Linked DNA regions of Lepisosteus oculatus. Each later gene encodes a partner of the first gene's protein in a complex. Links are inferred from orthologs where the notes say so. Each region holds a gene or a part of one and is shown on either strand. Other genes may lie near its edges.

Region 1 (7,453 bases):
GAGGACAAGCCGAATTGCATTCATCTGACCTGGAACATGAACATGGCTAGCTTCTCGTTGTACTCCCACTGCTTCATCGCCGTCTCCACCTCCACTGGGGTGGAGGGCAGTGGAGAGACACAGCCCTGGCTGGACGACTGACGGTAAAACTCAGCCACCTTCTGCAGCTGCTCCCACAGGTACTTTGTGATGATCTGGGTCCATTCTGCACACGGGCACAACGATAAAAAAACTACAGGCTCAAGGGGAACATCTTGCATTGTGGTCAAACAGAATTATATTTACTGTGTCCTTCATGAAGCAGTTAAATGCACAACTAACACTGTATAGCCTTTAAGTAACCGAGGTGAAATCAGATCCTGCCCCGGACTGCTGAAGGCTATGAAAACAAAACTCTTTCAACATCTTACAAAAAAAACATTTGTCTTCTTCCTAAAGAGTTCCAAAAGCCCCGCTACAAGCATGCTACTAATCAACAGCTTCACATCAGTCAAAGCTCGGCAACACTGACATGAAGGACGAGGGAGAGGAGTGGTTACCTATACAGGGGTCAATCACATGCCTCTTCTTCACTTTGGTCTCGGTTATGGCTGCATAGTAGGCACAGGTCATCTTGATCATCCATGCAGCACGCATTACTGGCACAGTGTACTTGGCCAAGTAGCCAAAAACCTCCTCCTTTTTACTGAAAATGGGTACCTGGTCAAAGCAAAGGACAAACAAAAAGGAATCAAAGGCTCTCAGAGGCACATATGGCTTTCATCATTCTCCCTTACATGCAGTTAATTTCAGAATTATTTTATCTACATATTCAGACTGAAGTTCCATAAACACATTTACATGTGTTTTTTACATTTCATGTGAAGTTGTGTTCTTTTCATTTTAAAAGAAAAATGCATTTTGTACCAAGCATAACACTTAACGTATAACTTGAGAAAGTTCAGCATGATGAACTGGATTTGACTGTTCACACCTTCTTAGCAAGCTGGGTGAGAGGCTTTGTTCCAGCCAGGTCTGTGAACCAGTTGTTGATGGAGCTCTGGGATCTCGCAGTGACCAACCAAAAGTTGTCTTTCTGGTTGACTTGGGGTTTCCTCTTTCCTGTGTCGGGGAACGTGTTGCATCGCAGCTTCTCTGCAATAATGCTACTGAAATTGGAGCTGATCTGTGAACAGAACGTGAACCGAATGAGCACTGAATTCATACTGTAACAGAAGCGTGGATGGACTAAAAGGGTTAGAGACTTCCACTATTATTATCCCATAACTTGACAGAAAGCTGAAGTATTACTTAAAGGACTATCTATTGAGAAGCAAAGAAAACCAAACAAATAACATCAATTACAAAAACAGCACATAGGTGAAATAAAGACAATCAGAGTGGCGATGTTAAGTTGTTATCTTTCAAAAGCTCATGTTCACAAATGCCCTTCTGTTTACAGTAAAGCCAAAGAAACAAAAAGGTACACAACTCCATCAACCCATGTCAACTTATCACAAATTCAGCAGACAATGAGAGCTTTTGCTTCCTACAGTGGCACACACTGCTGCAACCAGATGGCACTGAAGAACGCAGGCCAAGCAAACCTTGAGGACTCTTCCTTACCTTGGAGGGGTTAAAGTTGACGTTCTTGGCGCTGCCATGCTCGTCCCCCGAAACCGCCGGCTGGTTATTGAACCCCTGCTTCACATTCAGAGCTGTCAACTCATCCTGACGGGATAAAGCACCAAGACTGAGTGGCCAGCAGCACAGCACTGTCATCGCCACCCTGCGGCTGGGACAGGAGGTGCTACACACTTCCATTCCCCCACCGGCGCACGGGCTACACTGGCCGTTCGTTTGCAAACACCGGAGTGTGAAAGCTGCACTGACGATAGACACAGGACATCCCACAAGGCACAACTTTGATCACCGAGCTGTACACAAAAAAGGAAAGCATTCCCCGTGTCTCGTCTAAAATGTCACCCAAACCTGCCCCCCTGCCTCTTACTTTGCAGACTCCTGACAAGCTAGTGTTTTCCACACTGATATATAAACAGCAGTGTGCTTAATGACAAGACTGTCGTGATTACAAACTGAAAATGAAAACCATTCCTTAGAGTTATCTAATGTTGCCTGCTTTGTGCTGGTGGGCTCTTTTCCAAACCAGCTGGCACAAGTGCCCTGGGCTGCAAGAACCTCGGCAGCAAGCTATGTCGTTGCAGTAGTGCGATATATATGTATATTATATACACTATTCCACACTGATAAATGACCTCTGACGCCTTCTACGTGTGCTATTCACACAGCAATAAGACATGAAATTTCAGAAACGTCTCTCAGACCGTAAGGGGCAGCGACTGAAGTGCTTCGCGCCGTCAGTCACCCCGGTACGATCTGGGGAAGGCTGATCACAACCGCACTGAAACTGTAAAGTTTCTTGTACGGGACTGGTTAGAAGGACAGCAGAACTGCTTCTCAACGACAAACCGGCGTCCAGGCTCACAGAGCTAGTGCACAACAGCTCGTCACGTCATTTAGCACCACTGCTGCACTCAGTTACTGATAACCGTAGCTCCGTGCATAATTAAAACACATTGCTGTGGTGTATTCAGCCTGCTCGGGAATATTCCCATCTCTGCCATAAACACTGGAGCACAGCGTCTATGTTTAAGGCAGAAAACCACCTTGGGCATATAAAATTATTAAAAAACACAAGGTGAGCAGCATTTCTGGTGTTATTTTTACAAGTCCCTGTACAACAGCGGCTACTGAGCTCTCCGGCTGCACGTAAAACTCAAACAGTTTTGCAAGAACCTAATGTCATTTTTCACGTCTGTGTATCTGCTCATTGTTATTGTTACTGAAGCACAAAACAGGCCCAGGCTGCATCCTCGGACTCTCCTGCAAGCCCGACTCCCAGCCAGCCCGCTCGGGCACCCCCTCCAGTGCCCTGCTGGGGCTCAGACAGCCCGGAGCCCCCTTTCCTCACCTCCTTTTGCTTGGGGTCCTGCGGATAAACATCGGGAGGCCCGAGCCTCGGCCGCTTTAGGGGCCGGTGCTCGTAACTCAGGATCCCGAAAGCGGCCATCTTTCCAGCGGCATCACAGCAAAGGCTTTCCCCCTTCCGCTACGACAAGTGCCGAGTCTTCGCGGAAACACACGAAAGGGGAACCGAATAACCACGGCGAGACAACACAATCGCTGTGCCGGATCCGCCAGACCCGCGTACGGAAATTGCCGAAGCAGCCAGACATACTGACGGAAGTTTCCGAAGGTCGGGGGCGGATCCTATATAAACAGACATATGGATATATTGCAAATTCCATAGGGTTGAATTTGAACCTTCCCCCAGTAAACCAGCCCACTATTCACGACTGCAAAGAGAGCAAACAAGTCTGTTCATGAATATAGTACTGTACTGCTTAATAATGTACAATATACTGTAAATACAGCAACAGTGGTGGCAGGACATCATAGTCAACAAAACTATATTTTCTCCAGAATAAGAAGTCTTCGGAGAATGAACAGGTTCTGTTGTTGTTGGGGTTTTTTGATGATGTAGATTGAGAACATTTTTTTCATTTCTGCTAATCCAATCATCCCCTGTCCTCTGATTCGTTTTTTTAAGTAGTTTACAATTTTCGATTCTGTCTTAATTTTAAAGATAGTTTGTTGTGTTTTCTAAATAATGCGTGCGCTACATTATTTATTTTTTTTCCGCTGTGAGTTTTCTTCACCGATCTTTCTTATCTCGATGGCCATAGATGAGGTCCAGGTCAGCTGTGTGTTGTCTACATTTTCTCAGGCTGCGACAAAACGCATTCATGCATGCATACCTGTGAAGTTCAAAAACAAAAAAAAATAATATCATCATATTCGTTGTCGCTGTTGTTAATTGCTAGCATTAAAATTGTAGAAATAACTGCAGTTAAAGGTTTAAACCAAAATAAATCAATGCCTCCGAAAACGTTCATCCCACCCACAGTGACTCAGGAGGCGTTAACTGCGCTCGGGACTTTCCGACTGGGAAGGACCGCAGTTCTTGTAACGGGCAGGTTTGCTTGGGCTCAGTAAGGCGGCTGGGGGGGCTCCCATTTCTCTGTAGACCCTGTTTTTAATCTTTGCTGCTGAGTTATCATAACGATGTGGATCCCCACGACAGAAACATGACTACCGAGTCCCAGACCCACCGCATCTACAGGCAGCTGGAGGAGAAATTGTCGCCCAAGAGGAAGCTGAGCGTCGGGAGCTGGAATAGTTTCGTTTTGGTTTTGTGTTTTTTACTCGGAGCGGAAGTGGTTGGGGCTGCCTATCTGTTCTACAGTTTGGCTCTGGAAATAAAGCAGGTAAGCTTATCATATTAATACACACTGTTCTTGATTAAACAGTAAAAACTGGCTTTGCTCATCCTTACAGAACTCCTTGAAGGTACAGTAATGTCGGTGGACTTTTGTACGCGCTGCTCAGCAACAGATCAGTTTCAGTTCTGGCTGGACTTCACTTAGGAGACAGAGAATAAAACGGCGATGAAAACTATTTTGGAACATTAGTTTGCTTGAATATGTTTTTTATTGTCGGAATACTGATTTCCTGTACTATGAATTACTTTTTTTGTGCATATAAGCCGCTCATTTTCTAGATGTTTTAAAAACTTTTAAATTGTTTGATGACTACCGGGTTAATCGTTATCTAAAAAAAAGTGAGATGAACTGTGATTTTGAGTCCATGTTGATCATTCGAAACACAAGAGGCGCAGGTACTTGTACCGCCCGGTTACAGAGCAGAAGTATGCGTCCTGCGTTTGCAATTACGCCTCTGATTGTACTTCACTTATCCAGACCCAGGAGGTGGCCAGGCTCGGAGAGTATCCTGTACAGTGTTTGCAGTACCTAGTGGATCCAGGCCTTCGAGAAAATGCATCTTTCAGCTCTGAAGACCTTGCCGGCTGTGACCAGTGGAATGCGGAGCTCAAGAAAACTATCGGGAAGGTAACGAGACTCCCACTTAACAGGCAGTGATTCACTCACGCTGGACTAACCAAGACTAGGGAAAGGAGAGCTTAATAGACGAGCCAGCAGCTACAGTACATCAAACTGCAACTCACAACTGGCGACCCATTGAAGCTCAGCAGGAATGAGACTGGTTAGTACCTGGATGAGAGACCTCCTTGGAAAAACTAATGTTGCTGCTGGAAGAGGTGTTATTGGGGCCAGTAGGGGTGCTCTTCCTGCAGTCTGTGTGGGTCCTAATGCCCCACTACAGTGATAGGGACACTCAGTAAAACCAAGGTCCTCACTCTCTGTGGTCATTATCAATTCCAGGATGATTCTCAAAAGAATCTCGACGAGTGTTACTCCGGCGTCCTGGCCAAATTTCCCATTGGCCCTTACCAATCATGGCCTCCTAATAATCCCCATCTCTGAACTGGCTTCATTACTCTGCTCTCTTCCCCACTGAGAGCTGGTGTGTGGGGAGTGTACTGGTGCCATCTGGCTGCACTTAGGTAGAGGGGAGTCCCTATTACCTGTAAAACACTTTGAGTGGAGTGTCCAGAAAAGTGCTATTTAAGTGTAAAGAATTATTATAACAGAACAGAAACACCCAATTCCATTCTCAATGGGAGTCCTGATCTGTAATGCTCCCTTCTCCTTGCAGTCCCAAGCAAGAGAGAAATAAGTGACGTAGACAAGTGGGATATGTCATTCAGTCCACCACATACACGCTCTCGTCCTAGTGCTGACTACTGGAGCCTGTTGTTTTGTCTTGCAGCAACTGATATCTGATGTCAGGAACACCCTGTATCAGGAGCTTACAGGTATGTTTTTGTTTTGCAACATATTCAAATCACTGTCCTCATTGGCACAGCACACTGTCAGAATCCTGTCCAACAGGTTCCCTTGCCCAGCACTGCTCCTAAAGATCACTTTAGTAGGCATATACAATTCCCAATGGAGTAGGATTCCTCTGCCAACCACAGAATTTGAACCGGCAACCTTCCAGCCACAGGTGCAGATCCTTAACCACAGAGCCACCGCTCCGCCCAAGTGTCACGACAGTTGCACTGAGTCACTGCGGCATGTTTTTGAGAAGCACAGTGCTTCGTTTGTTTATGCTGGAGATCAAGAAGACGAACGAAAGTTGGAGGTTTTGAGCATGTACTGTAGGCATTGTGATAAGTATCAGACCATCTGCAAGGCAAATGTGGGGTTTTTATAAGGTACTTCTTTCCGTGATGTTTTCATCTATTTCTCACAGCCCACAATGTGTCCCTGACCCACGCCAACAAACCAGCCATCCACCTGGGCCCCGAGCAGGGCTGGAGACAGTTTCTGTGGCTAAAGCCAGGTGGGAGCATGTTTTTACACGACGGTGTTGCATTTAGTGTCTTGTTCGATTTCCGTAGGAAAGCTTGTTGCTCATTGTCTTTATTCTGTACTCCACAGGCAGTCAATGGGGCCCCATGACGACTCCCAGAGGAGCCGTTGTACGCTGGGACAATGTGAATGGCATGGCCGTGCAAGAAGGCATGATGGGATACAGTCAGGATGGAGGCATAGTGGTGCCGCGAGATGGGCTTTACTTTGTCTATTCCCAGGTTTATTACCACTCGCAGCGCCCAGCTGGCAAGGAGCAGGCCCAGCCTTTTCTACACTACATATACAGGAAGACATCTTACCAGGAGCCTATCCTTCTTTCTAAGGCTGCCTCCACTGGATGCTGGAACATGGAGCTGGAACGCGATCTAGTTTCCAGCCACCAGGGGGCACTGTTCCAGCTGCAGCAGGGGGACCAGCTCATTTTGAAGGTTCATGACATCCACTCTGTGTATTTGAATGAGGATTCCACTTATTTTGGAGCATTTATGGTAATTTAACTGGTGAAGTTCAAAATTACTGAACAGGTATTGGGTTAATCGATTTTCTTCTCTATTATTGTTCTAGAAGAGCACTAAGGAAATCTTTATGTAATGTCTTATTGCCCACAAAGGCCATGTCGCTAAAGTCTTGCAAGTGTGTTATTTTACAGAAACTCTAGTTTTTAACTGCTGTGGTATTTATAATGATAATAATTAGCACACACGTATTTCCCTTTGTGGGGATTTGTGTCTGATCAGGTTTGCACTCATATGATTGCTAGCCAGATCCACTCTGATAATGGTATTAATGGGAAAAGTAAAAAAAAAAGCTTAGTCTAATTTTCAAACAACGCACATCCGTTTAAAGAATAAAAATTAGATCTAATTTTCCCATTTTGTACAAAATATTTTTATTAAAATATTCTTGTGTTTTTAATAAAAGTCTGTAATGAAATAACTGAAAAAAATACTCATTTCAGTAATTTAACAAGGCAAACTTATGGACAGGTCTTCTGATGTCACAGATTATATCTGGAGTGGGTAACACCAGCTAAGGGGTGCCAGGTTCCTATGGGCTCCTTTAGCTTAGAGTAGCACCTGCTCATACCAGGAGAA
Region 2 (8,283 bases), on another chromosome or scaffold:
CAACCTTTAAATCGGTTAAAAATTTATATAGTTTAACAGACACATTAAGAACTATTGAGGATGTGTACTTAGAGAGCCAAAGTGTTATTTTATATATGATATATACTTGTGAATAAATACATTAAAATAGTGGACACTTTCAGTTTTTGGCTACTTTTGGGAAAATGTGAAACTGTTATAAGTGGACAATACCAGTTCATTGTTCCCAGTTTCAATATCTACAATATTCACTTGCTACAAAAATAGGACATAGGAACTAGAATAATAGTGAGACATCAATTCTAATACTTCAAAAGCCCTATAATTTTTTGTGGTAACTAAAATGCTTTATTATCTTAGACCTTTCAAATGTGTTACAAAATGTAATAATTTGAAGTATTTTTTTTAGAAAATTCGATGGGGAAAAAAAAAAAACAATTAATAACTGTAGCTCCACTGACTGAATCAGTCTGAGACCACACTACATCTAATCCTGCAAAACTGAAATAAAATTGGTGCTAGAACAGGTGCTAAAGCATAAGTTTAAAATGAGAATCTAAAAAAAATGGAATAAAAAGGCTGCGATATTAAAAGCAAACTGCAACACTATTTTTATATTTCGTGGTTACAAAGAATAAGCACAGAAGAGTGCATTTCAAACCTTAATAAAAGTAAGATATACAGAGTAACATGTGATACCTCTAATTTACATCTCAAAATAGGCAAAATTTCCAGGTATGTGCAGCACTATATTCGGCGATTCAGAACAAGACATCAAAACGTCCAGTGATGTGAAGCTGCCTTATCACATTGTAAACAAGCAGACTTGTGAAAACATCTCTTGTAATCCCATAGAAATATTACTGTCGACTTCAAGATGGTTTTCCTTTCAAATACTACTTACTAACTCTGCTTGCAGATCACGTTGGAACGTTTCTGGGGTGAAACGTCTGCTGCACAACCTGCACTTATTCGCTCGGAAATCACATCACATTACATACAGTACTGTACAGTCATGACAGGGACTAGTGACCAGGAAGGGCCACCCCACGTCACAATTCACGCAGTTCTCGAGAACTCTCACCCGTGACGAGACCAAGGGTTTGTGACAACAATGGAGATTACACAGTCATTTCACAAAGTTCACGGTTCTGTGCTTGATTTGGAATTTGTCAACTATTTCTGTGCCAGCAATTATTTTGTTACAGAGATCTAATAACCGGTCTGGGAAGTTGGAACTGCAGTTCCCCCTTAAGCTTGCTTTGGTCAACTGGATACCAAACCTTTCTTAAGCTTGCAGCGCAATGAAAAGAGAAATGTCCACTCAAAAGTGTGACTTTTATTTCCGAAAGGTTCCTGAGATATTTTCCTGCTTGAACAACAGCATAGCCTCAGATAACACAATACTCAAACTGTTCATCCCCTAGACACTTGTGACTTCTGCTTATTTTTGCTCTCAACATGCAGCCAAAGAGGACATCAACATTTTAGCATACAGTACACAGCCCCTTTAGCCACACAATATCATATCTTTATTCTCACAACTCCTGATGTTGCAGCTTCAATGCGGTGTCGCATTGCTTTGAGAAAAAACACCCATGTGGTATTTGAAAGTACAAGGAAAAGTCAGTTTATGTCATTTCGTCAATGATGCTGCACATGGCCGCATCCTTGTCCCACGTTTTGTCCCTTTTGTCCTTTTCTTTGTCCGCCTGTCCCACCATGCAGCCGCCACCGGCCTCGTCCACGTCCATGGGCTCCGATTTCAGCCGGGGGTGCCCCCCGGTGCCCGCCTCGGGCTGGGGCAGGTCGTCGGGGAGGGAGGCCAGGCAGCCCTGGATCACCTCCACCACCCGGTCCAGGTGCTTCTGGAAGCGCTCGGCCGTCTCCAGCCGCTGGCGCTTCTGCACCTCCATCATCACGCGCAGGGTCTCGCGGGCCTGGTGCGGCCGGTACTCGTTGATCAGGTGGTGCATGTGCACGAAGAGCAGCTTGAGGTCCTCCAGCTTCTCCTCGCGCTTGATGCTGCCGGGGCTCTTGATCAGGATGTCCAGGAGGTCCAGGAAGTTCACCAGGATGGACATGTTGAGCTTCTTCAGCTCCTTCTTGTGGTCAAACTGAACAGGGTGGAGGCGCTCGATGCCCTGGCTTTCCAGGGGGCGGATGATGAGGTCGTCGCACTGGAACTGGTTGCCGAACATCATGTAGGTGTCCTTGATGGGCGGCGGGGGCTTGGGGGCGAGGGCCTTCCGGACATTTTCGTCCGTATACTCCTTTATGTACTGCATGGGTGGCGGGGGGAGGGCACTGACCTGCTGTGGCTCGCCCATGGTGGAACCTGTGGAGACAGCAGCTTTTTTTTTAAAACTCTGCTATGCAACTACATAACTCATTCTCGTGTTGCTAAACAGCACTAGTTTACCACGTTGTTATGCAGATCGGTTCTGAAATAACTTGCTTTAAGACAAAATACAGTGTAAAAAGCTGTTTTGGAATAAAAAACACACAATGCTCATGGAAAATGCAACTAAACATAAACGTATGTGCAAAGTTGTTGCACAAACCTAATAAAGATGGAGAAAAATTAACACTTTCTGATCAACAGTTGCCAATAGCATAAATGTACTCCATAACATTAAACCCAAACGTATGGTAAAGTAAAACTCCAATGTATGAGTATTGGGCGTGTGATTATTTTAACGAATAATCAGTTCATATTGACAATAAAATGATGAGAAAAATGTTTCAGCAATCGGCTCTGACCATCTATCTACAACAATTTTTTTTTAGGTTATATTTAAGTCCCGGACGATCTAAAAAAACCCGCAGAATGTAGCATTTACTTTTGTTTATACTACGTTGAAAATATTTGAAGTTACAACACTTGCCAAATAAGACATGCCTGCATCAAAATATTAATCTTCGAGACCAATCCAAAAGCATCTTGCAGGATAAGGACACACTGTACACCACATTCGTTGTGTAGCGCTCACGAAAACAAGGGGCTTACAACATCGCATATTTTTGTTAAATGTACCTTATAAACATTACAACTAGCCGTATGGACCACGAAGACACCAATGTGCCAAATTTAAAAATGAAATGTATTTACAGCGAACAGTTTACAAAAGTAAAACAGGGACTGTGCTGGTGCTGTTGATATGACTGCTATTCAGTGGGACACGCTCCATTCACCCACACTACCTGTACATATGTCACTTTTTACAAAAACGCAGGGTAAACTCCTACCTACCGTTCGTCGACTTTATAATTTTCTATTTCTGAAGCATTCACAAATGGGTATTGAATCCCTTGAATATATTAGATGAAGACATCTAGCATTCTCTCAACAACGCTCGGTTCTCTTCCTGCACAACAGGGGAAGCCCAGGCGCCATTGGCTGGAAGCCGTCTCGATCCTCTTTGGATCTCATTGGCTTTTCCAGTCTCTCCAGATTCATCAGCAAAGTCTATTGGACGTAACGCGTTTAATAACGTAAAATCCGATTGGCTACGAGAGTACCTCCCTCTCGCGGGCGTAGGCGGAGAAGTAATAGTAGGGTAATAGTTTGCAATACTTTACTAATAGTTTGCGATCGGAAGGGAATGTATTTAAATTGACAACTAATTATATGAAATGTCTAAAAAAATTGATAAAATAAAAATGGAAGTTTATTCTACTGCTTTTCAGCCTGGCCCAAGCGTGGGTTTCAGTTTAGAAGTGCTGTCTTTACTAATTAAATTATAAATTGATATCACCCTCCACCCCGAGAAAAATACACAGTGCAGGGTTTCATAGGAGAAGCGGTCCTATGAAGGAACTGAATAACTGAGTTTAACCACCCTTGGAAAGAACCTGGTTATTCCGACACTGGTTTCCGAAAAAAAAAAACTATTCGAAATTGTCTTCTGTGTAGACTAGTGCCACGATCTGACAAACCCTACATGAAAAGAAAAATCAAACCCACTTCTTCGGACAAATGTGCTGGACCATATCACTGAGTCTTGCTTGTTTAAGCTCTCTCGACCACAACTGGGTCAAGGTCTGTGTCAGTTCTGCATGTTGCTGTTTGAACTATGTAATTCAGGGTTCCATTTATGATTTTCTTATAGGAGCTGCACATCCCAGTGGATCTGGTGTTTGGGGGGCTACCAAAACGTGGACATTCAACTTTGAGAGTTTGTGAACTTGTCTCAGGACTGGGTGAAACAGAAACAGTATAATTTATTTATTGTCTGGACATGCTTTCACTGCTTATTATTTACTGTTTTGTAATGTACTGTCCACATTGTGTGGTGTTGTCGGTTGCACTGTGCATGTCCTAAGAGAACTGAAGTAAGAATCCCAAAGTACACGTACATATGGCAAAGAAACTCCTCTATTTATCTAATCATGGGGGCCAGAACTCTACTCTTTGTGAGCAGGTCTAGGTGTACTGCTTCACAGGAAGCAGGAAGGAGGGGCAATAGCCCGTGTTTGTGGCATTCTGGGAGGGACCCACACTGAACAGCTGTCCAGTGTGGTTTATGGAGAGTTCTGGGATGTGTTGCCTTATGAGGTGTGGGGTTCTTGGGGTCTCCGCCCTAGCCGCTCCTGACCTGCCAGTTGGTCCCTCACTGCCTGGGCGCGAACCCGTGTCTCTGGTGTCACACTAAAGGGAACTTGCCAGCTGAGCTAAAGGAGACTTCCCCCAAACCTGGGCAGCTAAGATCCCTGTTATATGGACATTGGCTCCTCCACCAAGAGCAGGGGTCAACAGCTGGACTCCAGCTTATAGGACTTCTAGGTCCAGCAGACCACGTGCAACACCTGCCACCAACCACTTCTGTATCCTGGTTGTAGCAGTTATGCACCAAGACCTCTAATCCAACTGATTGCCAGCAGGGGGATGGCTATCTCAACAGCGGGACTAATGAAGCAGGGAACCTGCAAACTGGGAAAAACCTGGCTTGGCTCTAGAGTCAGGATCTAGAGAGATGATATAACTAAGTACCTACAGGAAGATTCCATGGACTGATTCTTGTTCAGTAACTTTTAATGCATTTATGTCGACTTGATCAGTTCTGTATGCATGTCAATGTGTTTTATAAGACCGTGTGTGAGTCTGGAAGAGGGAATCCAATTGGAGGAGAGACCATCAAGGTTGAGACTGGGTAAGTGAGAGCTGTTGCTCTGCTGCAGACTTCTTCTTGGTAGAGAAGCTATCTTATACTTACAGTATGCCAATAAGAGAGCTAAAGAGTAAGTCCCTCGCCTCTTTTTTTTCTGAGCCTAAATGGGAACATGCCAGAATTACAATATTAAAGAGTTAAGCCCAACGCTGATATACTTATTTAAAACAAGCCCAATGCACTTTGGCAAGAGAGCCACATCTTCAAGACATGGTTATAGATTCAGATAACTGATTTGATGCTTTTGAGTCTGACGAACCAGGAGTACAAATGTTGACTTTCACATTACCTGGGAAGTGGTTAATTTGTAGATTTTTTTTTTCATTTTGTCTGTGTAAACTCTTTAGTGTTCATAAAGTAAAAAAAAAATGCTAACCTTTTCTTAATTTGTGAAATATAAGAAACAAAACACGTCTTCAGTTCATTTGTGGGAAGACAAAAAGTATACGCGAGGAGATTTCATTTTAAAAACATAATTTATTATCCCCGTTTTATTTATTTTTTTACCTATTTATATCATTAAATGTGTTTAAATATTCGTGGGATACATAATTGTGTGATGCAAATCAGTGGGTGGACAGATGACTCATAATCCAAGGGATTATTTATAATTTAAGATGTCTGTACTGTCACTACTGTACGTAGCACGGATATAATTTAAAGTGACAAATGTATTCATATGTTACAGCTTTCAGTTCCACTCCCAAAAATTGTATAAACTCTAGTTCTGTACGTGTATATTTGGATTTGTAAATGTATATATACATTTAAAAACTCGGTTTATTTCTGGAAAGATTTTAATTTACGAACAGAATTCAGAAGGAAGTGGTTTTGCCTGCTGCCTTGCCGGAAACTAAGTACCTCATATACTTCTTGATTGTTGTGAAGATAGTGCATTGCATTTTTTTTATTGTGTAAGCACCATACCAAACTAACAGTACACTGTCTCGGTTCTTCTCTTTCGACTCTAGTAAAAGGTTTCTCCATGAAGGATCATTTTCTTTAGGATGAATAGACAAATCATTTTAGAAGAGTTTCTTTTCAAGAAATCCCAGCAGAAACGAAGAACCTCACCTTGCAATTACAAACAAAGATATTTCGTTTTAAGTAAAGATGAACTGGCTTACTTCGAACATCGCCCTGGGGTACGTAACGTCATTTCACTCTTACTTTCAATGATAAAAGTAGAATTACTGTAATACAAGTGTATTTTATACAAGAACCTAATGCTTCCAAGAGAGGCACCTGAAACGAGCACGATATGTCTTCAGCACTGTTTAGCGCGATGTAGTTCCACAACCGCGGTTATCTTGGAAAAAATAAATAAAACAGCAATTAGAGTTACGCCAAACTTCATAGTCTTCTGCTTTAATTTATCCTGAAACCATCGCCTGTGGCATCCAGTAATGCAGTTAGATCATTGATATAGCGGCGTGAGTTAAAACGGGTTTCTTTTGGTTCTGTGTTATTGCAGCGTATAATGCACAAACATTTCAAAATGTCAAAAGGATTTTATTTTTTAGTAAAGCATAAAATTAATAATTTGCCATTTCAGGCACTGTGAGTTTCAAGGATTAATATCTTATGGATGTCAACATGTAGTAAACAGCTATGATGGTCTACGTAAATGTATTACTACATACAGTTCAATTTTTAAAATTACGTTTGATATATGCGTTACATCCACCCCCAAAAATTAAATAAAAAGATGCACATCTACTAATATCCATGAAAGGCTAGTTTTAGAACTAAAATAATTGGATAAGCATATGTAAGACTATGTTAAAACAGTATCACATTAAATAACTTAAAACAAAGTTTTTACAGTATACAGTACAGTATATTCCCAAACAATTCCATCGTGGTAAATATCTAATACAGACACAACATTCATAATTTACAATTATTCCTCCGCCTGTGAGTTTGATGTCATTTTTATGTAGTATTTTGTGTTTAAATTTATTGAATCAACATGTCTGTTTTCTGTTCGTTTGAGGCAATTCTTATGGGGAGTTAGTTGTATTGTACTTGCCTTGGACCTCAGTTGCTCCTTTTTATGTGTATTTTAAGAGCAATATTACAAGATTTGTAAGCCTGAAATACATTTTTGGTTTTACACAATGTTGGGAGTTTTAGCATATATTTAATTCAGTTGTTTTGTTAAATATGGGAATTGTTGTTGGCCAACATGGAAACCTTCAGATAAAAACATAGCCCTCCCTGCCTTTAATCTTCAAAGTTACAGCTGAACAGGCTACATGTTGAAGTTCTTGTTTATTTGTCTTTGTACTTTGATTAGTGTTTTGTGTAGTAGCAATATCATGATCCACACCCCAGGTGGAATCAAATTAGTCTGTCTTATTTGTCGACTCATGTTTAACTGATTTTTACAAAACAAGCTATAGCTTTGCTTTTATCCATTTAAAAGTAATAAACAAGTGAACTCTAACATCATTGCTAGAGAATGGTTGTTTCAGACATCGATAAATTGTATTAATCTTCTTGCCTTATTTTGCAGGTCTAATTCATACGAGGTTGTTAAATTTATATTTCAAAGTTGAATGTCCTTTTCCCAATATATATATATATTTGTGTAAATTCCACAGTTCAACTTTTAAAATAGATTTGAGAGTGCATTTTTTGTATGTATTGTAATATGGATATAATGTTATAGTCATACTAATATAATCATATAATAAAGAGTAAGCAATTGCACGTGAACAGCAGATATTTTTCTGTATTTTTTTCTATTAACCAGTGTCACAATTAGCAATACAATATGTGTAGATACTTTATAAAGCCTGTAGAATAAGGTGTTTCTGATTAGTCTGTTAACAGTTACTTATCTTTGGCAAACAAAGTATTGAAGTGATGGAGAAGTCTTCTGCCCATGGTGAAAAATCTCTTTTTTTTTTTTGTTTGAGGTAGTCTTTTTAAAGTAAAGAAAAAAAATTGTGAGCTAAAATGTTATTAGAATGTAATAGAATTTGTAAAACAGCTTTTGAATAGTATTTAATCTATATTCATTACCTGCTGTATATACATTAGTTCAGTTCAGTTTATTGTCATATGCACTGAAATGTGTATTTGCATGTGTGCTCCAATACAAAGAATACACAGATATTAACAGCGC
Region 3 (7,450 bases), on another chromosome or scaffold:
CAATGTTATTCTCCACAGCCCGCAGCTGCTGGTAAACCTGCTGTAGGAACTGGTCCGAGTCGGCCCGGTCCAGCTGGCAGCCCTGAACGAGTACCTACGGAGAAGGGGAAGAGCATCCTTAGCCGAGAAGGCTTGGAAAACGCATCTGAACAGGCACGGCACAATGGCACCATGTGGCTTTTATTATAAACACTTAAGAATCAAGTCAAAACAGCTGGCTGCGTCACTGTTTTCCTCCTGAATGCCTGATCAATACCTTGCATCTTCTTTCCTAATGTCTACACCTGTCAGTCACGCCTGTTTGAGTGTATATTACCAAGGCTCCCCGCCACAGACAGCTCCGTTATCAAACACTTCTCTTCACAAGAGACTAAGGTGTCAGAGATGACCTGGTGAGACTTGAGTCCGATGATGGAGGAGTAGGCCAGGATGGTGATGAAGATCTCTGGCTGGAACACCAAATCAGTTCCCGGGACTTTGAAGGGTCTTGCGAGTCCGGCCAGACACCTAGTGAGAGCGTGGAACACCTCGTCGAAAATCATCTCGCCCGTGCAGTCGTCCTGCCAAACGACACGCAACACGTCGATCAATCAGGCCAACTTCCCTGGAGCCCACCGAGATCCCAAAAGCGAAAGACCCTCAGCACACGGCCAAGGCCACAAGACAAATAACTTGACGAGCATGAAGCCACCAGGCGTTCGATCAGAGAACAAAGAAAAACAACTAAATATACAAAGTATTACTGTCAAAAACTGAGCAATTTTTTCTATGTCTAAAGTAAAGAACCCGACATGATTTCCAAGAAGTTCAGATTTCGTGTGGCAGAAAGACAAGCCCAGACAAAGAACCAGTCAAGTCAAATTGCCGGAGCTGTCCTTACACCATGAGCTTCTCTGTATTTGATCAGTCAGTGACTGGTGTCCAGGCCAGGATACAGCTCCGCCCTGTGACCTGTATGTGCTGGGTAAGGCGCTGGCTCACATGAGCCTCTTGGGATTCACCATCCTACCCTTGAAGACCCACAAACCTACCGGATTTTGCTCCAGAACAGATCCCAGTGAGACAACTACACTCTTAATCGACTTAACAGGATTGATTTGAGCTGTTGGACTGTGTTCAGCTCTAAAACATTTGCAAGTTCCCCCCCCCCCCCCGCCCCCCCAAAGTCCTCCACATCTCCCAGAATTCATTTTACTATAGTGATTACCGCAGATGCGGTGGGTTAACTTCCGGATCTAGGAGAGTCTAGCTTCATTTTTTTTCTTCAGGACAGTATTACCATTTTCTCTTATACATGTTTAAGAGTGTCATTTAATTATTGCATTTCATGAGTAAAATAAATTCCCAATTTTCGAGAGGAAAAAAAAACAGAAACGTTCCAACCAAGCAGCCGGTTAGCCTGATTAATTAGTTAAGTAATTAAGCTGGGTTGGAATGAAAACCAGGAGGTGTGGGGGTGTCCAGAACCAGGACTGAGGATCCCAGCTCTACAGGATGAAACAGCTGTGGATGAGAGACAGACAGAAGTCTGTTTAGGGGCTCTTCTGCATTCCCAAGCTGCAAGCGCTTTGCCACTAGGTGGGAGTAAAAGCCAACGGCCCAGGAGTAAGGAAACTGAATTTCTCCAGGAAGGTGACCGAGCACAGGCGACGGAGGACACTCTTACCACGATCCCCGTGGACGGGCTCAGGTCCAGCTCGATGATGAAGCGGTACCGCCGGGCCAGGAAGGTGACCCGGGTGGACGGCACCAGTAGGTACGGCACAGTGGATGGAGGGTCACCAGTCTGCCAGCCCTTTGGTAGGATGCTCAGGACATCCAGCTCATTCTCCGAGCTTAACTGGTGCACAGAAAACCAGCGGGACTTCAGTTACTGGGCACAACAGCAAGGACTGAACTTGTTCCCCGCAAGCACGCAGCGTAGGTCCAAGCACGTCAGTCCACCCCTTAATTCCAGACCGCTCCTTCCCGAGGCGACAGGAGTCCAGCCCCCGGTACGCCACAGCAAGCACACATCACCAGCACAACTCTAGAGCCGAACCGGTCGGCTTCGAGAGGATACAACGTTTAAAAGCGAAACATGCGGGCAGGGGCGTGAGCGGGCCCACTCACCAGCTCGGCCCCCGGGTCGGGCTGGACCACCTGGTTGAGTCGGCTCAGGAACCAGGCAAGCCGCACGTTTCGGGAGATGCGGTGCTCCTCCTTCATGAGCAAGTACACCTGGCCGGCCTCCTCCACCTGGCGAAGGAACAGGGAGCTCAGAGCGTCGCTCACCGGCCCGGGTCGTTTCACCCATCAGGGCGCCGCAGGGGGCGGCCGGCCGGCAGCGTCTGCACCGCGCGCCCTGGCAGCGCCTCCTCTCGAAACCCCCAAAGAAGAGCGAGAGGCGTCTGCACCTGCCACACCCTGAAAGTCAACACTGGCTGGGAAAATGCTTGCAGCCACGATTTTGAAACCACGAACAAGATCGCAGCCTGCAGTCGTAAAGAATAACATTCCCAGGAGGGACTCGGCTGCTATCAAGACCCCGGCTGCATTTTCTTTTTTATGGACCACACTGACCACAACAGGATCTCAAACGGGCTCGCAGGCAGGCTGGCCAGCAAGGTGAAGCCGTTCTGAATATAGCTCCATGACACATGGGTGCCTTGGCGATGAAGGGTTCTGATAAAGGGCAAGACTGGGCAACGTCACGGCTTTTATGGCCTGGAGTGATGAAGTAAATTGTCGTTTTTTTGTTGATTCACAGCTACATGTGGGTAGGTGGCAGAAAGAGTACTGGGTGCCATGCTGGCATGAATTCCATCAACAGTATGGTGGTCTCATCCGTGGGAGACATCCTGTTACAATTTAAACCCGTCAACACTACGCACACTGGTTAGGGAGAATACACATTGCTACATACTGTGCATTTGCCAACACTACCCCCGTCAGTGCATTAGCGTGGCTGCTTCTGAAAACCTTCTCGTCTGACAGAAAGCACTACCGACAGCTTGCAAACCACGGACGTGCTTTACGGTATCTAGTGGTTATGATATTCACTGTAACAAGGAAATACGCGACGACAAGGAGGCTAAGGACACTTAAGAAATGTGAATCGGCGAAGGAGTGAAACACCTGCTACAGCAATCCCAATTATTACCTGAAAAAAACTACAATTACAAGCTGCAAGCTGCAAGCTGAACACCTCGGGGGTAGTCGTGTGTCGTTAGACTAAAATAAAAACGTTCAGTTATCAGTCATGCTCCTACGAAACACAAAAAGCCAATCGATGCACAGAAACTCGAACAGCCATTTGGACTTTGCTAGTCGCTAGTTATAGCAGTACCACCAGCACTCCAGCCTGACACAACCGTTACGGAGAAATTACGCATCTTCCACAAAATGCACGGAGCTTTGAGTCATTTAAGACATTGCCTCTTAGCCAGTCCTTCTATAGCCATAGTAACACGCCCAGCTTCCCTCATGCGTTTATTTTACTTGTCATCCTATTGCGAACTGGTCTGATCTTCTTTCTGCGGACACCCCGATAACGTGGGGACAGTGTCTACTCGCCTCGGTGTCCTGTTCCTCTGCCATCCCGGGTCTCGCATCCCCAGGGGTGTCAGCGTGGAGCTGTGGCGGCGAAGACTCCTTGTTTATTTCGCTACAATTTTCTGTTTATTTGGCACAGGCTGCACCGCGACCCGGAACTGCTTTCCGCTCTGACCCTGCAACGGGATTAAACCAAACCCATCCGGAAATATTTAAAACAGCTCATCTGTTGTCGAATTGTTGCAGAACTCTGTGGTGTTTGTTTTAAAAAAAGAGGGCATTACGAGCATTTACCAGCAGAATATCTGGCAGACAAAAGATGCGCCACTGGCTAGCAACGCCTGTCGTCTCTGCTTAATATTTATTAGTATCTTCTGGTCACGATCAAACTTTTGAATTTTCTTGCTTCAGGTAAAATGTTAGATTCCTAAAAACGAACTGTCACAGAACAACCGTTTTCATAGATGCTAAAATAAAGAGCCGTTGAAAGTAATAAACTGACCCCCGGTGACACATGACTATTCTAAGTGTGTGGCAAGTCTTTCCGAGGTCCTCCACATATCCCAGAATTCCCTTCGCCTCTTTTGAATGACCATAGACACGGGAGGATAACTTCCGGATCTCAGTTTGTTCAGTTTCGGTTTTTATTTTGGATAAACAATACGATGCAGGTGAGTACTAGCCAGCTGGTTTTATTTATTTTTTAAATCATATTGGAGTAGATTAACGTGTTGGGTAACCAAACTGTGTGCATTTTGAAATCGAAATGCTGTCTTATGGTCAGATTGGGATATGCTAACCAGTCGGTTCTAGGTTCATTCTAGTATGTAACCGCTGTTCTTGAACAAGACGAATTCTTAAAGTTAAGAAAAAAATATTAACTCGTAAAAACAACAAAAACGCAGACCGCAGCTTCGTATTTCGTTACCTTAGGTAGTTCTGAGCTCATATTAAGTTCTCAGCGTTTTCGACTAGAGCCTCCCAACAAAGTCTGTGCTCAAGTGTAGCTAAAGTCACCCTTTCGATAATATAGCCATCCGAAAAATGACTCGGGGAATCTTACGAGCTTTGTTTCACCGGGTGGTGTTTTCTCCCCATCCGTGTGCAGCAGCGGGAAGAGAAACAGTTGGAGGCGTCTATCGACGCCTTGATAACTCGAGTGGCCCACCTGAAAAACTCCCTGCACAGCTTCATCTTCAAGCTGGAGAACGAGTACGAAAGACTGGCATGGTGAGGGCTGGGTGCTTGCAGGTGTTTTACCACTTTCCCGAGAAAGGAAACTTGAAAACATTTTTTTTATTATTATTCTAGATCTTTTGCTTAATATCGTCTAGAATAACTCTCGCAAGACCGAGAAATCTTGTGAAGGGTACTGTAACACAATGTCAGACAGACTAATGTGTGGCTGATGAGCTTTGTAATCTTTGTCTTTAACTTTGTGTTAATGATAATTGATTTTAAACTTGTAGACAACACCAGAGAATAGTAGTTGCATACTTCTTTGGGTAATGTTTGTACTTTTGGTTCGCCAGATTCCAAGACTTACATTTCTAAGGTCTTCCATAACCACTTTCCTCAGGATATTGCAGTTAGGTCTAATTAAATAAAATATAGACATGTAAGTAGTAACTATTTTTAATGAGGTATTTATTATTGTTGGATGAGGAGAGAAGGAGCAGATGTGACCCAGGGCCAGGCCCACTACAGGAACAGTAGTATTGTGACTGTCAGAGCTGGTCATTTTTAGACAAGTTTTAGGTAATTAAGTACAGTTGATATTAATTTTTATTGTTGGGTTGTAGTTTTAATTCCTTGCTTTTTACTCCCAGATCTTTGATAGAAGCACCATAATTAATATTGTATGTTGTTCTTTGTTTTTTAGGCCTTCAGTGCTGGATAACTTTGCCCTCTTGTCTGGCCAGCTTAACACCATCAATAAGCTGTTGAAAAATGAGAAGACACCTGTCCTGCGCAGCCAGGTCATCATCCCTCTACTTCTGTCCCCAGACCGGGACGAAGAGCTGGCTGTGAGTCGCAGTTCAGTTCGCTCCTTTGCCATGGCTTTTCTCTTCTCAGAACGTGCCTCGCTTTGTGCCGCTGTTGTCAGCGAAGCACACAAAGCAAGGAGACGATCACCAACATGTCATTTAAAACCCTGATTTCTTCTCGATGGCCTGCTCAAAGCCAGCCCACTGTCAATTTTACCGTTGCCCCTAGAAACTGACGGAGCAGCGCGTGCCCGTGTTCAGCCATGAGATTGTTCCGGACCACCTGCGCACCAAGCCAGACCCGGAGGTTGAGGAGCAGGAGAAGCAGCTGAACGCTGAGGCAGTCCGCATCGGCCCCGAGTTGGCACAGGTGAGTGTCTGAATGCCTCAGGTGCCCACCCTCTAGGGCAGGCTCTGCCGGTGAGCTCCAGGTGTCCTATGGGTGTTCTACCACCGTCGGACTGTTCAAGAACCTTGATGTCTTATTGAGCATGCAGGGCGATGACAGCTCTTTATCTCTAATAATCATGAACAGGTGTTGTTCTGATGAGAGTAAAAAAAACAAACGTCTGACAATCTCCGCGTGCCCTCCGTTTGAAGCCTGGCTTTCCCATCTTGTGCAGAAACAGATACAGACGCTGAACAAGCTGTGCTCGAACCTACTGGAGAAGCTCAACAACCCTCGGGAGGACCGCGAGTCCGAGAGCGCAGGTATCTCGCCAAACTGTTGTCCGCTCCAGAACCCGCAGGAGGCTTTGAATGGAGCAGCCTGTAAAAATAAAAACACTTTGTGAGTCACGGCGTCGTTTCTTGGCAGCTTTGCGGCAGAACAAGCAGACGTTCAACCCCACGGACACAACGGCCCTGGTAGCGGCCGTGGGGTTCGGGAAGGGGCTGGCGAAATGCAGACCCCCTGGGTCCGGGGGCCTGGTCCCCCCGGGGCAGCCTGGGACCGGAGCCATGCTTCAGGGAGGGCCGACCCTGCAGCAGGTCACCATGCCTGGCACTTCCAACCCACAAGCGGCTATCGGCGGCCCCGTTCCCCAGCAGCAGCAGGGCCAGCCAGGTAAGAGCCTCACCTGCCACCTGCAGGACAGGTGCGATGGGCAGGAGTCACGCAGGTCGCAGCATGGCACAAAGGAAGAGTGGGACACCTCTTGTTGTTTTGACGAATACGACGTGATGAGAACAGTCATCCTGAATGATACTGACCTGAGCTTAACCATCTCCTGCAGTCAGCAGTGTCCCAAGTGCATCCGCAGCCCTTTTGTGCGTATGGAGCAGCTTCTTTCATGGAACGTGACTGTCTCCCTGTTATAAAGATTTTCTCTCCGTTATAGATCCTTAAATAAAAATCGGAATGAGAAGTCACGAGGGCTGAGAGGCCTCTTCTCCCCTGTAGCTTGCTTCTGTTTTTTTTAAATTCCCGTGAGCTAAGGGTGTGAATGGCAGTAACTGATCTGACTAGTATTGCTTTTAGTCTGTCAGATAAAAGTGGATTAGCTATAACTGCGGTATTGTGAATTTCAGAGGGACTGCTTATGGGGGGAAAAAAAGCTGAGCTCCACCTAATGTAACATTTTTATTTATTTTTCCGTTATGTTCTTTCCTTTCCTTTTCTTCCCTTTTATTTGCACGATATTTTTAGTTAGTCATGCTGCATTTGTACTTTGAGAGCTTAAAACATACTAAATGAAATCATTTAGCAGCCTGTTTTTTTTATACGTTTCCAATGACTTCGTATTGAAAATATTTATCCAGCTGAGATGGGTAACAGTATCTCCACGGTGATGTTAGTTTTCAGTCTGCAGTGTGTTACATGACTCATTACAGAGCTACATGCCGCTGGTACGCACGACATACATGTTTTGACTAAGCAGAGTGTTGAAACCTCTTGTTTCGTTGCTACAGGGAAAATGCCAAGCAAC
Region 4 (8,034 bases), on another chromosome or scaffold:
TTGTGACTCTGAAAGAAGTGTGCTTGTCAGGGCACACCGTGTTTGACAGGAGCTTGGTCAGGAGAGGACGAAGACAGCTCAGTGTTTCACCAACAATGATGTCAGCAACAAGCACAGGGGGAAAGACAACATCAGCAAAGCACCACAGAGAGTGGAAGCCCCCACTCTCCAAGATCATGATATCCACGCATGAATTCAAAGTGCAGGGTAAAAAGGGTGACTCGACAAATTTCAACCCGGAGTGCAATCAGCCAATCGTTGTAAATGGCCTTCCCACAGCAAAGAGCACTTCCCTAATGTTATGGGGTGCTTTTACGTACAAGATTAACGTTACCCACTACTTAAAGGTATCGAGTGATCATCTCCTCCCAATGTTGCAGCATGTCTTTCCCATAGGTTGGGGGGAGGGGGGGTGTCTTCCAGGACGATGACCCCCCCCCCAAGTCACCCCGTGGTTTGATGAGAATGACACTGAGGTTCTCCGTGTGTCATGGCATTCTCAGTCACCAGATCTGAACCCAAACAGGCACTTGCAGGATATTCCAGAATAATGCCTGAGACAGTGTTTTCTACCTCCCCCAACCTTGCACGAGTCTTGTGGATGAATGGTGATGCATCCCTCCTGCAGAATTCCAGACACTAGTAGACTTTATGCCATGGTTAACACACCTCGAAGGTGGTGGCTACACACTCTATTCGGGGGAATTTTATTGGTGCTTTCATTATTTTCTGTCCACCTGTGCATGCTTTGCAATCTGCAAAACATTTTTCTTGAACGAAGATGTACTTTAATGTGGATCTGACCACATCTTTACATTGATATGCTGTTTGGGATGTCTGGGTAATTTACTTTATATCACAGGAGCTACTCCTGAAGCACTCCAGTATGAGGAAAGCAAGGACTAAAAGGCTTTTACCAATGGACTCCGGTTAAATCCGTTTTCCCTAGCCCATTTTAAGTAGGCCTTAGAAATGACTTGAAAGCATGGACAACATTAATACACCCAAGGGCACCCTCTTTCCTGTGACCCTCAGCAACTAGGAAGCAACCGAAACAAAATCACTTAAATAGGCAAAGCACACACGTAAAAAACAAAGTAATTCAAAGTGTTAGAAACTTTCTTACACATGATCTAAACTCCATGTGCCCCAGCCCCAAACTCTTAATATTCGTCAAATTAAAACGTTGTGCCTACAAATGCACATCTGAAGTTCATACCGATACTTCGCCATCCAATAACCTCAGCCAAGTACGTGAAAACACTTCCTGTGTCAAGTCTAAGCAGTTACTTCTTAGTATAAACCCCTGCCGCAGTACAACTGAAGAACTTAAGTCGGTCTAAAACACTTTAGCACGTGTCTTTAAAAGACATTTGCTCAGACATAAGCAATTCATTTCGATATAGAGTGATTGTCAGTTTTAATGACGTCGAGGGTAAATCTTGCAGGAGGCAGTACAGCACTGTAAACACTGAAAGCAGATGTCGAACAAACATAAAAAGCGTTATTTTACATTATAATTCGACTTCTAAGCAGTCTTTTTATATTCGAATTTCTTTTTCTTAGCGTTAACACAAGAAAGGAAAATATCACCTACATTATCAACACAAATGGTTGAATCTTTTATCAGTTTATTTTACTTAACATTATTTTAAAAAACAACTAAATTAGCAGGAGTATCACACGTTCTTAAACTCCTAATTAGTTTCTTGAATACAGTATTATATTACATTAAGATAGCACAAATGTATCGCGTTTTGATACAGCTAATTTCTTATCTGAAAAGAGATACGTTTTAAAAAAAAATCCAAAGTGTATTTCTACTTATTTTCCACGGTACCTAACTTGCGAAAAGAAAACGAGACGGGCGGAAAAGTTTTACATTTAGGCCGTAAACACATCTACTTCAGCGGTTCCCCCTTCTCGTAGGCCCGTCAGCTTAAAACCGAAGCCTCGGGCTCGAGTACAAGCCCGAGCCGGGATGAAGGTGGCTCAAGCCGCCGAGATATTTTGACTAGAGCAAGCGCCGAGGACCCGAACCTCCGAACTTTTAATAAGAATCGGGTTGTTAAACGTGGGGAGGCATTTTAGAAAACACTCTGTAGAATAAAGTGTGCAACTTTAAGAGTGTGTTTCTTTAGCCCCCAGATTAAGTATGGCCCTGTCAAAAGAAGAGCACTGTAGTTTAAAGCAGTTTAGACATTCTTTCAGGCTCTCTCCCCGTGCATATATGACACGTACATTAGGTTATACCCCACATTTTGGGAAAATACGAATGATTTCGAGGGCAGAAACACTGACATGTACACATCACACACACACAAGAGAGCTACTCTGAACAGGACAACGCATCCTGATGTGTACACACACTTCCACAGGATCAGTATGCGGCGGGGAGACTACCCTCAATTTAACAACCCACAGCGAACTGCTGTCCATCGCAGCCTGAAATAGGGCTGAATTATGTGTCGTTCGCCCCGTGAGGAGCTTGCAAAGCGAAACCTAAGTGCAGGGGTTGGGGGGGGGTGGGTAGAAAAAAACTATCAGCTTAGCAAACCAGCTAGTCAGCATCGAACTTGTCCAGGCGGGGACAAGTCACTCCTGCGCTTGGCTACACATTTCCCCCCCACACTGCATTTCCAACGTCTTGCACAACCTCTCGACCACATTGGACGGTGGTCGGCTCCTGGCTAGAGCCGGGAGTCCCGATGGTGGTGGTGGTGGTGGTGGTGGTGGCGGCAGGGGGGGGTCCCCTTTCGTGTTTGGTGCGCGGTGATAACCTGTAGATCGTACCGGGGACACCCGGGCGAGCGCAGCCGGAGCACTCGCAACGCACGGAGATACGGGGGAGAGAGAGGGAGAGGGAGAGGGAGACAGCGCCGTTACTCACATTGCTCTGGCTATCGATGGCCTGTAGCAGCCGGTCTCTCATCTGCTGCGGGGTTGCCGAGGCCGCTGTCATTGCCTGGGCTGGTGCGGATCGGCGGACTGGGCAAGGGGGAAGATTCCTCCGAAGAGACGGGTAGGTGACTTGCACACACTCACAGGCCTTTCGGGAGATGTGCTAGGAAGTGGCGCGGCATGTTTTCTGTGGCGCTTTTTCTCTCGCTCGCTTTTCGTGTGCGTGTGTATATGTGTGCGTGTGTATGTATGTATATATCCCGGGAGAAGGAGCTCCGATCTCGCCTGTGCTTCACTATCACTCCGGCGCTCTCCAAACTCCAAGGCTCCCTGAAATAAACTGGAGCAAAACGCTCGCCCGGCGCATGATGGGAACTACACCGGACGCACGAAAGCACTCGACGTAACAGCCTCGACGTCGTCACGTAGCCACCTGCTAGTGAGACACATGCTCAGACGTCTGACAGGCTGGGCCGGCGGTACACGCTGGGACCACTGGGTGCTCATAAAGGGAGGTGGGCCGGCTTTTTTGGAAATTGCAGCGTGCATCGCGGAACAATGAGATTGAGACGTGTGACACACAGGAGCACACACACACACACAGAAATACATTGCTCTGGAATCCGCGCACACCTGGTTTAGCACAAAAGGCTCGGAAAGCATGGAGCCGAGATACAGACCGGCCTCTCGTTTTAAGCTAACGTCTGCCCTGGATTACGTGCAAGCCCAGGTCCCGATTCTCACATGAACTGCGAAGAAAAAAAGTCACAGCCCCGCCGCGCAGTTTTCACGCCACAGCCGAAATTTCTCGATTTAATGCAATTACTCGTACTTTCTAGTCATCTAGGCACTGGCTGGGGTGGGAAGAGGGAGAGTCTGCGTCCTCCATAAAACTGAATTTCTATACCAGGATACAGCGATAAACTGGGTTTGAACATTTAAAAACAGACACGGCTTCGACTGTTGAAGAAGTGGAAGCTGTAATTAAATCAGGGACATAATACGTGGAACTGGGGTGGAAAAAAACAACAAGAAAAGCTACCTACAAAATGACCCAACAAAACACGAGCTGTTCTAGATAAAACGAAAAGTAAATGCAGAAATCTAATGTACGTTTTCCTATTGTTTCTGAAAACAAAAACAAATCTAGGAATTTCTCATATAGCATTTTTAAAAACAGAAGGATAATGCGTCAAACTAGGGAGGTCTTAGTGTTTTCTAATTTTCGTCCAACACGAGTAGTCAGTTAAACAATTGGCTTATTTTCTCATGCACATTCACGACATGCAGCTCTTATTGCTGTACGTATCTGTGTCGTACTTCTATTTGTTCTGAAACACAGTCCAACCTAAACATATGGGATTGCCTTATATCGTTTGGGAAGAACGCCCCCTGCTGGCTTCTCTATAACAAATGACTGCGGGTTAAAGCACTTCTATTTATGTTACACAGTACATAACAGTTTAAATACTTAAATTATCGGAATACCCACTGATAACCAACGACAAGGTCTTTATAAGGGTTATGGAGTACTGGTACTTGGCTCCATCAACAGGCCACTTTTCACCACACTGAACTGCACGTCATTTTAGAAAAAGGTAGAAGGAAATATTTGACAAATGCTTTTGAAAATTCAGATTAGGGTTTTTAAAATCCAAATAAATGCTATTTTATCAGATAAGGGTATGAAGTTAATGACATCAGTATACAAAGTTGGCCAGTTATAGTATAAAAACATAAAACAAAAATAAGGTGCATGTGATTAGAGAACCATAGGTCACATTCGGTACCCTAACAAATGACAAGATTTGAGAGCATATTTTGATTAATTTGAGTATTTCACATCTATACTGTAGTCAAGTTTTTCCTTCTAATTTTTCAACAAAAGTCAGCATACTTTAAAACAATAATGAGTCACAAATATAAGTCACAATGTACAGATTTATATTTACATAAACATGAGACAATAGAGGTTTAATAGAGATCATTGGGGATGAAGGGAGATTTGCATCATGATTATACAACCAATTAACTCAAAAAAGTTTACATTATAGGCTACAGATACAGATGTGTAAACAATACCCTAAGATTTGTTTCAGATATCTGGTCCCTTGATGTTCGCAATGCTTTAAGATAACTAAGTAGCCTGGTCTGTTCGATAACTAAATAATCATTGCTGTCTGCAAGGCGTGAGCCTGGCTACAGGGAACATGTGCTTTGAACAAACTACACACATGGGGATCTTGAATGGGCACACAAAGCTGGGAGCCGAGATATTAAGGAAGAAATAAAAAAGTGCCCCATGTTCACACCCCATGAAACCACAGCAAGCAGGCTTCAGGTGTAGCTGTGTAGAGACTGTGTGAGCCGAGCACAGCCATCTAACACTACAGAACTCCACCTTTCTCAAGTACTTACGTCTCAGGGCAAAAAGAGTGTTCCAGCTGGAAAGACTGGGACATGCTCACTTTTTTTAATCTGCATCACTGGAGAAGGTGAGCATTTGGCATTCAACATTGGGGAGGAAAAGACACTTCAAATTATAAAAATGGGGTACCAGAAGAGTAAACAGTGTAAGAATTCCAATTACATATATAAAGTGATGTGTGTAGCATTTAGAAAGCCCTTTAACTCTTATGACAAGTAGTCTTATACCCAGAAATGTTCATGTATAAAAAGTCTTGTGTGGGAGGTAATTCATGTAGGTATGGTTTTGTGCATCTTCTTGTTACAGCTCATCCTTACGATCCAAATAACCTGTGAAAAAAAAATAAAACAGGACCAAATTATTCTGAGCAGTAGCAGAGGTTACTCCACAAGAACCTGATCAGAAAAGGAGGAATATAGAACATGGCAACAATATTTTATACTGCTGGAGTAAAACAAGATAATATGTTCTCATTTACCTTTGTGTGCTACTAAATATATGCATGATAATTAAAATCATTCAAAGATTTTCAGAAAGGAAAAACACCACAGGTCAACTCAAAAATGTAAGAGGAGGAATTCTCCCTCAACATCTTGTATTTTAATTACTGTAATTGTTATTGTCAATAACTGTCTGAAAACCTGGTGAAAGAACTGAAAACTAACATCACATTCCTGTTCTTAAAACACATTCTCTGTACATTGCAATATGAGTAGTTAAAGTGTTTAAAGACAACAGTACACAGTTACACAGCAAAAACTGCCAATCACGGGAAAAACGGTACTTACAAGATCATGCAAAACATCATAAAAATGTTCCATAAGGCAATAAAGATCCGGAAATAGCGGAGACTCAAAAGAAACTCCCGGATGTTGTCTCCTTTAAAAACGAAAGAAAAAAATATGATGTCTTATTTCAGGTTAAACAGTGTAATATGTAGCATGCTGATAGCCATTGGAATGTTCTTCCTCACTTTGCACTGATGCTCTGATTGACACTCTCTTTTCCAACTGCTTGGCTGTAATGTAACTCTCTAAAAGCTATTAAAACCTCATAGAAACCAAACTAAATGGCCCATTTCATTATTCAGCTACATGCACTGCATGCAAGACAAGGTAGACTAGCTGCAAGAGCTGTGCATCTCAGAAATGAACCGTGCCGTGAGCGCCCCCCATTCAGTCAGATTCCACCCCATCCTAAAATTCTATATTGAACACTACATTTCTATACTGACCAGATAGGACTAACCAGCATTAATCTCTCAAATTTAACTTCCAGTGGGGAAATTGTATCATGTTGGCGCTACACCTACTACTGATACACATATCCAGAGGCAACAGAAAAGCAGACTGTTGATTTCTTGTTACCTGTTGTAGGGCCATGGGACTCATCTCCGAATGCTTGAGACTCTCTCTTCTTTCTGTGGCACAAGAGAAAATAGAATTTCAAACACTGGTTTGTTTAATGACATTGCAGACTCAGACACAATATTTTCTAGGACTTTATCTCCTTCATTTTGTAAGAAATGGGGGAAAAAAAAGTTCAAATCAGGTGAAGAGACCACAGAGATTGTCCACCTAACTGCTAATACTGTAGAACTGGATTAAATATCACTAGTAAACTGGTATTTTTACAATACTCCTATATTTTGGCCACTGCATTATTTGTTAATACAGGGGAAAGCCATAAGATTTTTCTTCAGGATCTTCTCCTTATAAGGCCAAGTCATCTTGAAATCATTTTAACATGGTTTGTTTTACTGCTGCATTAAATGCTATAGATACTTCAAAATTCTGGACTTCACTAAAGTGGAATTACCCATTAAAATGAGGACACTGTTAAAACCAGTTACCAGATGGTAAAAATGGCTCAACAGTAATTCTTCCACTAATAAAAATATTGCACAAACGTTACTTACAGTTTAAAATTTAGGACTGCTCCTGCATTCATGAGCAATGTCCTACAAGAAAAAAAAACAGCACCAGTTGTTATGACAAACCCATTGTTAGGAATATGCCCACAACAGTAGCGCTTTTTCTGATCATAGAGGAAGACCTTTCTAAAGAAATTCCTCTTAACCCACCCTCCTTTAAACCATAGCATGCAACAGAACTAGAGATAAACTGCGGAAAAAGTCTGACTGCAGACAAGAATAAAAGCTAACAATTAATTTCCCCCTGGCCTTTACCAATCATGGCCTCCTTCTAATAATCACCATCTAAGAAGTGGCTTCATTACTCTGCTATCCTCCCCAACTGAGAGCTGATGTGTGGTGAGTGCACTGGTGCGTCATCCAGGTGGGGGCTACACACTGGTAGAGTTGAAGGGGAGTCCCCATTACTTGTAGAGCGCTTTGAATGGAGTGCCCAGAAAGGCGCTATATAGGTGTGAGGAATTCTTATTACGTCAAACACCCAAACACAAAAGGGGTGTAACCTGTATGTGTCGGGAGGCTGTGACACTTTTCTAGTCTTTCAATGTTTCCATTTCAATGTGGTAACGAAGGCGGGTGACCAGCTGCGGATATCAAAATGTGTCGAATGAGACACTGATTACGAGTGATCCAAAACTGCTGCATGTCACTGCAACAGTAAACGTAATATATCATAGGCTTAAGCCTCCAACAATCCCTTCAAAAGCCATGTTGACTACAGCGACAGTACATACCGGAGCCTGTAGAGTACACGTCACTCTGTACAACAGAG

Evidence for each region. The genes of interacting proteins can lie anywhere in the genome.
Region 2: med12 (region 1) and med7 share a complex: the UniProt entries of both Homo sapiens proteins name them as parts of the mediator complex. The link is inferred for Lepisosteus oculatus from reciprocal best matches to the Homo sapiens genes MED12 and MED7.
Region 3: med12 (region 1) and med8 share a complex: the UniProt entries of both Homo sapiens proteins name them as parts of the mediator complex. The link is inferred for Lepisosteus oculatus from reciprocal best matches to the Homo sapiens genes MED12 and MED8.
Region 4: med12 (region 1) and crsp7 share a complex: the UniProt entries of both Homo sapiens proteins name them as parts of the mediator complex. The link is inferred for Lepisosteus oculatus from reciprocal best matches to the Homo sapiens genes MED12 and MED26.

Annotation. Positions count from the first base shown.
Region 1 is NC_090703.1:52,281,834-52,289,286, reverse strand, and holds the start of med12 (mediator of RNA polymerase II transcription subunit 12), read right to left. Parts: upstream 3,155-7,453; 5' UTR 3,071-3,154; coding exon 2,972-3,070; intron 1,711-2,971; coding exon 1,606-1,710; intron 1,166-1,605; coding exon 974-1,165; intron 700-973; coding exon 540-699; intron 206-539; coding exon 30-205; intron 1-29. Other genes in the region: tnfsf10l4 (tumor necrosis factor (ligand) superfamily, member 10 like 4), read left to right, coding at 4,149-4,328, 4,821-4,970, 5,752-5,797, 6,238-6,327, 6,426-6,856. UniProt on the Homo sapiens protein: Component of the Mediator complex, a coactivator involved in the regulated transcription of nearly all RNA polymerase II-dependent genes.
Region 2 is NC_090706.1:30,433,119-30,441,401, forward strand, and holds med7 (mediator of RNA polymerase II transcription subunit 7), read right to left. Parts: upstream 3,389-8,283; 5' UTR 3,233-3,388; intron 2,318-3,232; 5' UTR 2,310-2,317; coding exon 1,611-2,309; 3' UTR 574-1,610; downstream 1-573. Other genes in the region: itk (tyrosine-protein kinase ITK/TSK), read left to right, coding at 6,158-6,295. UniProt on the Homo sapiens protein: Component of the Mediator complex, a coactivator involved in the regulated transcription of nearly all RNA polymerase II-dependent genes.
Region 3 is NC_090704.1:2,358,836-2,366,285, reverse strand, and holds the start of med8 (mediator of RNA polymerase II transcription subunit 8), read left to right. Parts: upstream 1-4,062; 5' UTR 4,063-4,199; coding exon 4,200-4,205; intron 4,206-4,642; coding exon 4,643-4,764; intron 4,765-5,416; coding exon 5,417-5,561; intron 5,562-5,751; coding exon 5,752-5,892; intron 5,893-6,145; coding exon 6,146-6,233; intron 6,234-6,339; coding exon 6,340-6,588; intron 6,589-7,433; coding exon 7,434-7,450. Other genes in the region: KICSTOR complex protein SZT2, read right to left, coding at 1-94, 390-560, 1,667-1,840, 2,113-2,238, 3,556-3,579. UniProt on the Homo sapiens protein: Component of the Mediator complex, a coactivator involved in the regulated transcription of nearly all RNA polymerase II-dependent genes.
Region 4 is NC_090724.1:2,833,255-2,841,288, reverse strand, and holds the start of crsp7 (mediator of RNA polymerase II transcription subunit 26), read right to left. Parts: upstream 3,389-8,034; 5' UTR 2,963-3,388; coding exon 2,891-2,962; intron 1-2,890. Other genes in the region: smim7 (small integral membrane protein 7), read right to left, coding at 5,643-5,658, 6,118-6,208, 6,697-6,749, 7,248-7,289. UniProt on the Homo sapiens protein: Component of the Mediator complex, a coactivator involved in the regulated transcription of nearly all RNA polymerase II-dependent genes.